Linked DNA regions of Rattus norvegicus. The protein of the gene in region 1 interacts with the protein of each later gene in a pairwise test. Links are inferred from orthologs where the notes say so. Each region holds a gene or a part of one and is shown on either strand. Other genes may lie near its edges.

What was found.
Region 2: the proteins of Nr1h2 (region 1) and Npy interact in a two-hybrid assay, tested with the Homo sapiens proteins (3 studies listed by BioGRID and IntAct). The link is inferred for Rattus norvegicus from reciprocal best matches to the Homo sapiens genes NR1H2 and NPY.

What each region holds. Positions count from the first base shown.
Region 1 is NC_086019.1:104,177,261-104,182,133, forward strand, and holds the end of Nr1h2 (oxysterols receptor LXR-beta), read right to left. Parts: exon of another isoform or gene 4,872-4,873; coding exon 4,581-4,871; intron 4,485-4,580; coding exon 4,225-4,484; intron 4,125-4,224; coding exon 3,945-4,124; intron 3,501-3,944; coding exon 3,401-3,500; intron 2,176-3,400; coding exon 1,967-2,175; intron 1,737-1,966; coding exon 1,590-1,736; 3' UTR 1,223-1,589; downstream 1-1,222. UniProt on the Homo sapiens protein: Nuclear receptor that exhibits a ligand-dependent transcriptional activation activity. Binds preferentially to double-stranded oligonucleotide direct repeats having the consensus half-site sequence 5'-AGGTCA-3' and 4-nt spacing (DR-4).
Region 2 is NC_086022.1:80,209,651-80,215,609, reverse strand, and holds the start of Npy (pro-neuropeptide Y preproprotein), read right to left. Parts: upstream 3,500-5,959; 5' UTR 3,407-3,499; coding exon 3,404-3,406; intron 2,612-3,403; coding exon 2,424-2,611; intron 1-2,423. UniProt on the Homo sapiens protein: NPY is implicated in the control of feeding and in secretion of gonadotrophin-release hormone.

The DNA of each region.
Region 1 (4,873 bases):
TTATATAAAGCATCACATCCGGTGTGCCAGCGGAATAGATAATTGAGCTTGTTGGTCAAGCTGAACAGCCTGAATTAGATCATAGGGAACCCACATAGTGGAAAGAGAAGAACACCACCACAAAGTTGTCCTCAGATCTGCACGTGTGCACCATGGCGCGCGCGTGCGCGCACTAAGGAAAAAGGAAAGGTTGAGGCATTGCTTTTTCTCCCATTCCTACTTTTTTTTTTTTAATTTGGGCTTTTGAGGCAGGGTTTCTCTGTGTATCCCTGGTTATCCTGGAACTCAACTCTGTAGACTAAACTAGCCTCAAACTCAGGATCGCTTGCCTCTGCCTCTCGAGTGTGGGGGATAAAAGAGCGCCACTACTCCCGGTTCATTCCTACTTCTTACTGGACTTTCTGATACTGTCGCCTTGCCTCTTGTACAGGGAGCTGACACAAGTGCCCTGTACTTCCGCGCCTCCAGCCCGGCTCCCGTGCACGCCTTTGCGCTCACACCCGGACAAACCAGCGCACCCCGGGTCCTCAGCTCCTGGGGTCCGTCCTTTGCATTGCCAGCCCTGCTCTAACCTGCCCCCAGCTGCGGATATCCCGCGAGCTCTCCGCTCGAGGTATCAGTTGCGTGCACGAGCAACCCATACTCTACTTTCTTACTTACCGCGTCAAACAGCTTTTCCCGCCACAAGGTACGCCGCCGTGACCCATGAACCCTACGCGCGCAGGCCCAGAGCTGAGGCACGCCCGCTAGGCCCCGCCCCTGGCCGGCTAGGGTGGTCAAACCACGTCCCTTCCAGGGAGGATCCACAACCACGCCTCTCGCAAGTGGTCCCGCCCCGTGACGCTAACGGCACGAGGACACACCCCCAGCATCCAGGCTCAGGGAGCCGGCTTGACCTGCGGTACCCGAGCGCCCCCAGCAGGAGCGTGGGAAGGTTGCCACAGTGGGTGCTACCCCGCTGCTTTTGCTAAGTTTTTTTTTCTCCGTTCCTACACACCCGGGTTCCTGTATAATTTCTGTTGCCCCACAAATCACTTCCTGACTTGTTTATGTCACTCGTGGCCAGATGTGCAGTCCCCAACTTTGGAAACCTGGCCCTAGCTAAGTAAGTGTCCTTTTAGTGTCTCAAACTATGCTGTATAAAGATTCCTGTCTTCAGCGCCACCCCTCCACCCCCACCCTCGTGGTCGAACCTAGAACCCCTCCACGTTGGGCTCAGGAATGGCTTGTACTCGAACTTTATTTTATTTTTTTATTAAATAAAAGGGGCAGAAGAGGGGGCCTGTGGTCTCCCAACTGTGGGGAGCCACCTGCCCTAACCTCTCTCCACTCAAGGTGCATGGTGTGGTAGGCTGAGGTGTAAGCTCGGGAGGAAGGGCAGCTGGTAAAGATCAGAGGCTAGGGCCTGTGACCCTCACCACTCCTGGAAGACTCAGCGGGTGGGGTGGGACCTTCTAGTGCCAACTGCCACTCGCTCAGCCCGAGCCCAGGGGACTGGGCTGTGACAGTGTCCTCCCACCCCAGGAAAGGCAAAGGAAGCGTCCATCTGCAAGTAGACACCACCAAGGCTGGGGCACTTGTGGCGGCCCCTACTCATGCACATCCCAGATCTCGGACAGCAAAGGCGGCAGCTTCTTGTCCTGGAGACGCAATGCGAAAACCTGCTCCGAGTGCACGGAGCTGAGGGTGCGCAGGCTCACCAGCTTCATGAGCATTCGTGGGAAGCGCAGCTGGTCCTGCCGGGAAGAGGAGGCAAGTAGATCCTATAGGGGGCCCTGCCCTGCAGAGCCAGCTTTGTCTGACAAGCCAGTGCTGTGAGTGGTCAGGCCAACCTCAAACCCAGCCCAGGGTTTGGGACATGTGTGCTGACCTCACTAACAGGACCTGAGAAAAAGGCAGGCCCCAGGCTCAGTGTGCCCCAATGAGTGCCACCTGACCCTAATACCGAGCCCACCAGCTCCTGTACCTGCGGCCGCTTGATCCTCGTGTAGGAGAGGAGGGCCTCCACATAGGGCTGCTGCAGAGCCTCCACACGGCTGGGCTCCTGCACATTAGGCCGGTCCGCTGAGAAGATGTTGATGGCAATGAGCAAGGCATACTCTGCATCGTCTAGGCCCAGCCGACGCATAGCCCGAGAGAACTCAAAGATGGGATTGATGAACTCCACCTGCAAGCCTGCAAGAGCGGCCCCAGCACAGCTTCACACCTCACCCTGGTCCCAGGGCACTCACACGGGAAGGAGGAACAGCCAGTGACAGCTACTCCGCCTTCCTCCCCATAGGACCATGTGACTGTTACATAGTAGCCATGCCACCAAGACAGCGCCCATACCCTTCCTTCCACACACACTGGAACCTCATCCTCTCAGGTCCCCCCATCTGCCCTCAGGAGGGCGGAGGAAAGGCACTGTGAACCCTTAGGTAGTTCCCACAGCTCTAATATGCTATGATTCACTCATGGACTGTTAAGTGTACCTACTGTGTGCCAGGCCTTGGAGAAGAGTATTTACTGCCATCACACCCAACCCCTTCTCTATAAAGGACAATATATTCTAGGCTACTCTGGCCTGCAGTGAGACCCCAAGAAAGCAAAACAAAACCATGTAGGCAGGTTCCAGGCAAGATAGGAGTTGTCACCCAGTTCTAAGCAAGGGACAGTGAATGCTGGTCCCTGATGCTGGACTGTGCTGATGGGCACAGACTCAGCAAGGCACCCAGTGCCTGGGAGAGACGATCGACAAAGACAGAGGAGAATGGAGGCCAGGTCCTGTCCCAGCAGACGGAATACGGGAGCTGACAAGCTGGCATGGCACTTGCGTGCTGTGGGGGACAGATGTGATGGGAGGGTAGTAGCAGAGGGCCCGGGGCCAGGCAGTGAAGGAGCTTGGGTAGGAAGCCGAAGATCCTTTCCAGTCCCACCTTCCAAGGCCTGAATGCCTGGGGCTCCGTGGGGTTCCTTCAAGCCTGGCTGCAGGGCCTTTGCCCAGGCTGGATCACAGGGAAAACACACTTTTTTCCCTAAATCTGCCCTGCTAGTAAGCCACACTGAAAGAATCCTAGGACTCTTCTTGTGTAGTAGAAGAGTGGAAGTGGGTGCCTAAAAATACTGAGAGGCACCCAAGGTGTCCTGGGAAGCCGAAAGCTGAGGGAGAAAAGTTGTTCGCATTGGCTGGCCATGGGCAGGGGCCCTGTCCCACCATCAGACAGGTGGCCAGATGAGCTCCCCATGAGACAATCAGCAGCCTGTGCTTCTTCCTGATCTCCTGCCAGAAGGCCAGGGGACAGCAAAGCCTCCCCATGCATCTGGTCCTGCTAAACATGATCTTTCTCTTGCCAGTGCCTGATCTGGAGGTCCGACAGGGGGCAGAAACCCTAACACTGAGCCAGTGCCTTCCACAGACCTGCACGGTGGAAGTCGTCCTTGCTGTAGGTGAAGTCCTTCAGGAACGTGATGCACTCTGTCTCGTGGTTGTAGCGTCTGGCTGTCTCTAGCAACATGATCTGGAGGTGACAAGGTACAGGGCTCTTCAGCTGCCCCAGGTCAAATGTGCCAAGACCAACTGGCTGCCACCCAGACATTCTTAGCTTTCCTTTCTCCAACTTTACCACCCACTGCCCCCACCCAAGGACATTAACCACACATTATTGTGAGGTACAAGAGTTTTGATTCTTTTAGCACTTAGAACTTTATGCACAGTTGACTCTCAAACTTAAGTTATCCTTGAGTTGGCTCAAATATCCATTCCCTTCAAGTCTCTGGGGCGTATTTCCTCTTTGACAGTCCATCCCATAGTCTCCATTACTCCCACCTCAGCTCACTTCCCTTTCCCCCCGTGGCTGGCTCACTGGAGGCTCCAGATGGCCACACCCCACGAGGGTTAGGATGTCCCTGGACTACATGCAGCTCTGACCTCTGTCCTAGAGCCTAGTTCTCGTTATTAGTACCTCGATGGTGGATGCCTTCAGGAGGGCGATCTGGTCCTCCCGGCCCAGCTGCAGGAACCCTGGCACCTGCTTGGCGAAGTCCACGATCTCCTGGACTGAGATGATGGCTAGCTCAGTGAAGTGGGCAAAGCGTTGCTGACGAGCGTCTCGGGACTGAGGGTCTGCACCCAAGGGCCAGGGCTGGGACACAAAAGGCCAGGGTCACGTGGGAACTCGTGTGCCCCAAGAAACCCTCCCTAGCCTGGGTGGGCTCTGCCCACTGGGCCGGGCGGGGCGATACCGTGACTTTAGGCTGGTCGGAGAAAGATCGCTTGTTGCACTGCAGCTGCGCGGCAACTAACTGTTGGATCATCAGCTCCTGAGCCGCTGTCAGCTGGATGCCCTCTCCTTCCCCGGAGCCCTGGCTACTTGCTTCCGAAGTGCCAGGGGAGGCTGCAGGCCGGGCTGAGCTACCGGATGCTGGCTCAGTCGGGGGCGGTGGCTGCTGCTGTTGCTGCTTCTGAATCTTTTTCTTCCGAATCTGCTCCTCAGAAAGCACGCCTGCAGGAAAGACAGCCTCAGTGGTGGGACCCACCCTCACTTACTCCTCCCCGTGACGAGGACCCACGCTCTGTCTAGCCCCGCCCCTGCACTCACACTGCTCCCGCATGCCAGCCTCCTTGCACTTGCGCAGTCTGCAGAGCTGGCACTTGCGCCGCATGAAGGCATCCATCTGGCAGGTTCCGCTGCCCCGACAGGCATAGCGCCCGGCCCCACCATGGACCACGCTACGCCGGAAGAAGCCTTTGCAGCCTTCACAACTGAGCACATTGTAGTGGAAGCCCGAGGCCTTGTCCCCGCACACGCGGCACAGCTCATGGCCCAGCATCTTCGGGGCCGGACCCTTCTTCCGCTTGCGCTCAGGTTCATCCTCTGGCTCTAAGATGACT
Region 2 (5,959 bases), on another chromosome or scaffold:
CGACCTCTTCAATAGGAACACTTGAGGGAAGATGACTCTTTGCTGGGGAAGGGGTGTGGAGTGGGAAGCTGGACTGAGCATCCTGGGATGTCTAACAGCGTATACCAGTAGCACTCACTTCTGGTTGTGCCAACAAGTCTCCCCCCAACAGAGCCCTATGTCCTAGGGAGTAAAAATCACCCCCACCTGTGAACCCTGTTCCAAGGAACCACACAAACAAGAGCCATTGACTAGAATGAGTGATCTGGACTGCAGAAGCAACAAATCAGCAGCACACACAGCAACAGGAGGACGGCTACAAATAGGACTGGCAGGAGGAAGGAAGAAGAATTACAGATTAAACCGTCACAAATGACACGGTAATTTTCAAAGGCCTGGATTTCTTCGAGTGAACCTTTGGTGGGAAGTCAGCAAGTGTACAATGGGGCTTCTAATGTTTTCTAAAGAGAGCTTTTACCAAGATGACACAGGTTCGTTTCCATTGAACCAGATTTTCTTCCTAGGACATGCAACCCCCTTCCCCTGTTTTTTTCCCTCAAAGATGGTGGATGTTACATTGGATTTTAATGATGTGGCCCCGTACAAGGGAACTCAGTAGAGGGTTCCAGTTCCATAACCCTAAGAAAGCTTTCTTGAAATGTCCTTAGCTTTGTGATCTGCAGAATGGAGACGATTAAATTCACTTCAAAGTTTGGAGGAAAAGACTGAATGAGATGACTGGAGAAATGTGAAATGGCATCACTGTATACACTGTGGCAAAGCCATATATAGCAGCAGTCTTTGCAAAAAGAATGAGTCCTATCTGTTGTATCTAAAAAACAAAACAACAACCAACGAGCCAATCAAAAACAAACAAACAAACAAACAAGACAATCAAACAACAATAAAAGCCATGGTGTTGTGGCTGGAAAGATGGCTCAGTGGTTAAGAGCACTGGCTTAACCACCAGAGGTCCTGAGTTCAATTCCCCACAATCGCATGGTGGCTCACAATCATCTGTAATGGGATCTGATTCCCTCTTCTGGTTTGCATTAAGACAGAATGCTCATATACATAAAATACATGCATAAATCCTGAGAGATGCTATCATTTCATTTGTGTAAATTTTTTTTGAGTTGTATGGAGCAAAAAAACTGACGTCATCGATTTTCTGGAAATTTATTAGGCTCAAAAATGCAATTGCTTTCTGCTAGTGAAAATGGTCAGATTTCAAAAGATTATGAGCCTGTATTACTTAAGTGGTTCTGTATACATTGGGGTTGTTTTCCCCAGAGGGCTTTCAGGATGCCACATACTTTTCTGGTGAAATTAAAAGTACGAAACTGTTTCAGAAGCACAACCTCCCTTTTATGTCCCATCCAACCATCCCCTGGGTGGTGAGCAGTTTAACCTCTCTCTGGTAATTTACTATGCATAATTGAAACTTGCTAAGTAAAGAACATTAATGCTTCCAAAGAGTTTGCCTATATGATCCTTCAAGGTTCTCGGTAATTGAAATGTGTTGTTAAATGATTTAGAACTAAAATGCACTGACTTTGCAAACTAAGTCCCATATTGTTTGTAAAATAGCTTGGATTTGATTTTTTTCTGTTTGATTTTAATGCTGAGAGGAAAGGCAAGGCACCTCTCTTCCACTTTCTGGACATTAAAAATACAGATCCCCGTCTGTCTCTCAGGCCCCAGCCAGTGGAGCTGTCTGTATCCACCAGAGTCCTTAGCGGAAAGGCTTTGCTTTGTTTTGTTTCTTCTTCATGGGACGCTTTCTTTTCAGAACGCAATTGCTATAAAATGAGAGAAGTCAGCTTTTTAAGACCATCTAGCAATTTTCAAGTGTAGGGCTGAGATAGTTCAGAAGAAACCCATGGTTCGTTCGTTCTCTCTCTCTCTCTCTCTCTCTCTCTCTCTCTCTCTCTCTCTCTCTCTCTCTCTCATTTATTTATTTATTTATTTATTTCCCTAAATGCTGCCACTCCCTTTGCCCTGGGCAGGCTGGAAGGTCTATCCACTCTCTGACAGCTGGACTGTCTCGTTGGTTTTCTTTGGGGGTGGTTGTTTACTCTAGATTAGGTTACACCTTTACACTGTTGCACCCCTGCTCCTGATGCTGCCTTTTCCCAAGGAGGGTGCTGGGTAAGTCCCCAACTGATGTAAGCAAAAGAGGCAGGAAAGGTGGGTGGGAGACAGACACAGCCCAGAGGTACTGAATCTCAGTTTCGGGGGTTGGAGAGAAAGTCTAGTGACAAAGACAATGTATCCAGTTTGTGGCGTGTGTACCCATCTCACATATTTATCTAGAGCTGAATATATGCCGGATCCTGTCCTATTCTGGGACAGAACAAGGAGAAAGAAATGGTCTCTGGCGTCCAAGATTCCCAGAACCGCAGTTTTTTGGGGCTCGAGATACCAGCCGCGGATACACCCACCTCTGTCTGGTGATGAGATTGATGTAGTGTCGCAGAGCGGAGTAGTATCTGGCCATGTCCTCTGCTGGCGCGTCCTCGCCCGGATTGTCCGGCTTGGAGGGGTACCCCTCAGCCAGAATGCCCAAACACACGAGCAGGGATAGAGCGAGGGTCAGTCCACACAGCCCCATTCGTTTGTTACCTAGCATCTGTGGATACAGAAGGCTCAGACTTGGAGATGCAGAGAATGCTCGCCTTTGTCCCGATTCCAGCTACCACTCTAGACCCTCATCTATTCCCATCCCAGACCCTAGGAAAAAAAGCCCAGATTGGGCAGGCTCCACTTCCAGAGCCCTAGAGAACCACTTGCCCGGACCTGGCCCCTCTGCTCCGCCCCATTGTTCATGAAACTTCCCTCCAACGCTCCTAGTGAGAAGCAGAGGGCCCCCTTTTAGAATAGAATTGTAAGTTCTGCCCTCTATTTTAAAGAAAGACCACTTTTCTCCTCTTGTTCCTAAATCACCCTCGGAGGAGAAACTTTTCTTCTGAGTCGCTTATGATCTGTGTGGCTACAGATCCTGTGACAGTCAGATACCCAGAGGCTCAGTTCAGATCTTGGAGGTGACTGGGCACGGGGCTCCCCATGCCAGGGAAAATACTTTGGGGGAATCTCCCTCTAGGACCACGCATGCAATCTGGATTCCTGGTTGTAACCAACTAAACAAACAAACAAACAAAACCCCACCGCTGCCCAGGGATAGGTGTCCCCACGTTCTTCTCCCTTCCTTCAAAAGATAACCGGCGTGGAGGTGGAGCGCCTAGATAGGAGGGCTCCGGAGAAGGACAGGTGGAGGGTCGAACCAGAGTCCAGCAAGTGAAATTTAGCTGCCCCAAAGAGCTGGGTGTCAAGTTGGCAGAACAAGCTCAGGGGGCCGGCTGCAGGGCAAGTTCAAGGGAGTCTAGGGGCCCGCACCGCTGTCCCAGTTGGTCCTGGCACTCACCATGGCGGGCGGGCTGTGGTCTCTGCGCAGCGGGTGCTCTGCTCTGGGCGCCTCTGCGAGGAATGAGCTCCACCGGTGGGATGCGTAGAGCGGGTCGCCAACGGGCTTTTATGGAGCGCCCTTGTCGCGGCAGGAGGGGCCTCGGGGGCAGTCACGCCCGGGTGACTCCCACAGCCACTTCCCGCCCCCAGCAGCGGGGGAGGAGGCTGGAGCCACAGCCGCTCGAGTGGCGGCGTCTGGAGCCACCCACACCCCAATTCCAGGCAGCCCGCTCTGAGAGGAGAAGGGAACATCCAAGAGTGAGCATCCCCCAGATCCCTCTTTACTTCTCCCCGTCGAGTCCCGCTGCCAGAGAGAAAGATAAAGCAGGGACCGCTTAGATTGCCTGTCGCGGGAATTGCCTGCTGTCTGCGCGCGGGTCTGTAGGGACCAGACACTGTACTTGGGGAGCATCTCTGGGACAACTGCGAGCGCTGGGAGGGAAGCAGTCGAGCAAGGTTTTTCCCGCTCCCGGAGCAGGTGTCCCGGACCGCAAGGTCCCCAGCGGCTTTCTTAGACCTACTGGACCTACTGGACCTACTGGTCTCCCCCACCAAAGGTGGACCCTTCCCCAAGCACACTCCCCAACGCTGCTAGCCAGGCTCGGCCTCAGCCAGAAACTCCCCAAGGCTGCCACGGGGAGCTGGCGGTCCAGGAGGCTTCTGTATCTACAGCGGAAAGTGGCAGCGATTCGAGCCCCTATCTGTAAGCTTTGTGAAGTCCCGAGTGTTCTCGGCTAACGCCCGAATGAACACTTGCTTTTAGATTGAAATGGAGCAGATTAAAAGACCAACGCCACTGTGCTCCTCGCGTTAAACCTGTTGAATAAATATGAACGATATTGAAATTATGTTTACCAGATGGGGATTTTTACAAGGTACGCTTGAGTTAATGCCTCTGGAAGTTTGAATCTAGGTAAAATGGTATGTTGCTAAAGTGGAGTTTATTTTAAAGCTAAAGTTTGTTTTAAAGCGTTATTTCAAAGCTAAAATAAATGATTTCATTCAAGTGTCACTTTGTGCATTGTTTAAATAGGGATGAATTAACTTTTAGTGAGAGAGAGAGAGAGAGAGAGAGAGAGAGAGAGAGAGAGAGAGAGAATGAATATGAGACACTATGTGATCAAATGATAATCCTGAACACCAATATCCCATCCCTCGCAGCTGGAAGACTGCACTCTCCCTATGTCAGAAACCTGCACCAGGCCACAAACACTGAGCTGTCAGAGTTTCTCTTGTGCCCTCCTGAGAACCTTTGCTAAGAGAAAGGCATCTAACAAGAGCGCTCTGGTAAGGAGGAAGGCACACACTGCTGTTCAATAAAGTAATCTTCCTGTTGTAGTGAATCAGGGAGTAACATCGGTCAAAACCTGGGTCCAGCAGGCGTCACAGAATCTGGGAGAAAGTACACGGAGGGGGTAGGGGTAGGGGTGCCACTTTTGAGCAAGGGACTCTGGGAATCTGATTAACTTACTTTATAATGTTGGTGCTTGAGAACAAGAACTTTTCCCTTCAGCATTTGGAAAATGAAGTCAAGGGAGGGCGTGCCCAGAATGTCACTTATACCCTGTTCTTCTCCTTGTCCAATCTGGCCTTGGGCTCTTAACATGCTGTCATTCTCCGATACCACTCCATCAATTAACCCCTCCCTTCCGCAGTTTCCTGTAACCATTGGCAGCTCATAGAAGCAACCCTCCTCTAACAAACAAAACCAAACGTCATTCAAAGCACCGGTCTCCTAGCTGCTGCTAGCTCTCTTCATTGGCTTTTTATTTATATGCGTGGTTATTTATTGTAATAGCTTTCCTTAACTCTCAATAAAATACACTATGAAGTTTCAAATGTTTGAAAAATTCCCTCGGATACACATCCACATTCACGAAGCCATAAAGAATATAGGTTCATCACCCCTGGACTTTGTGACATCCCTCTGACAGTGCTCTCCTGCTCCTCCCTGCTCCTCCCTGCTCCTCCCTGTCCTCCATGGGTCTGTTTCCAGACACATGAGTTGTTAGCATTTCTAGCCCAGCTCCTCAATAGCTTCTCATCTCTGCTTTCATTTTTTTTTAATCCAACACCCTTAAGCTGAGTCTCACCCAAATGTCAACAGCACATACTGTACTGTTGACACATTTCCATTCTAAGACGCCCCTCAACTTCAAGAACCCAGTCAGCTTCTCCTGGACCCCAGGTTCTTTCCAGCCTGTGCTGTGACTAACTCTGCAAGGGCATTGATTGATAAGTCACTGTGTTGATGTAAGCCATCACTTCTCCTAGGGAAACAAACATTAAGTCATCAACTGACGTGAGCTCTGTCCCACAGGTCACTGCCGGTCTATTTTAATTTGTTCTTTTATTTTTTTCTTCTTTCTATTTTGGCCAGTTCTATTGCTACATCTTTAGTTACTTCATTTTTTTCCTCTTCTAATATGTGATCCTTGTCAATTATATTCTTTGATTTTTGCACTTTAGACAATGTACCTTTCATCTTTAGAATTTCAATATGGGTCTCTTTAAT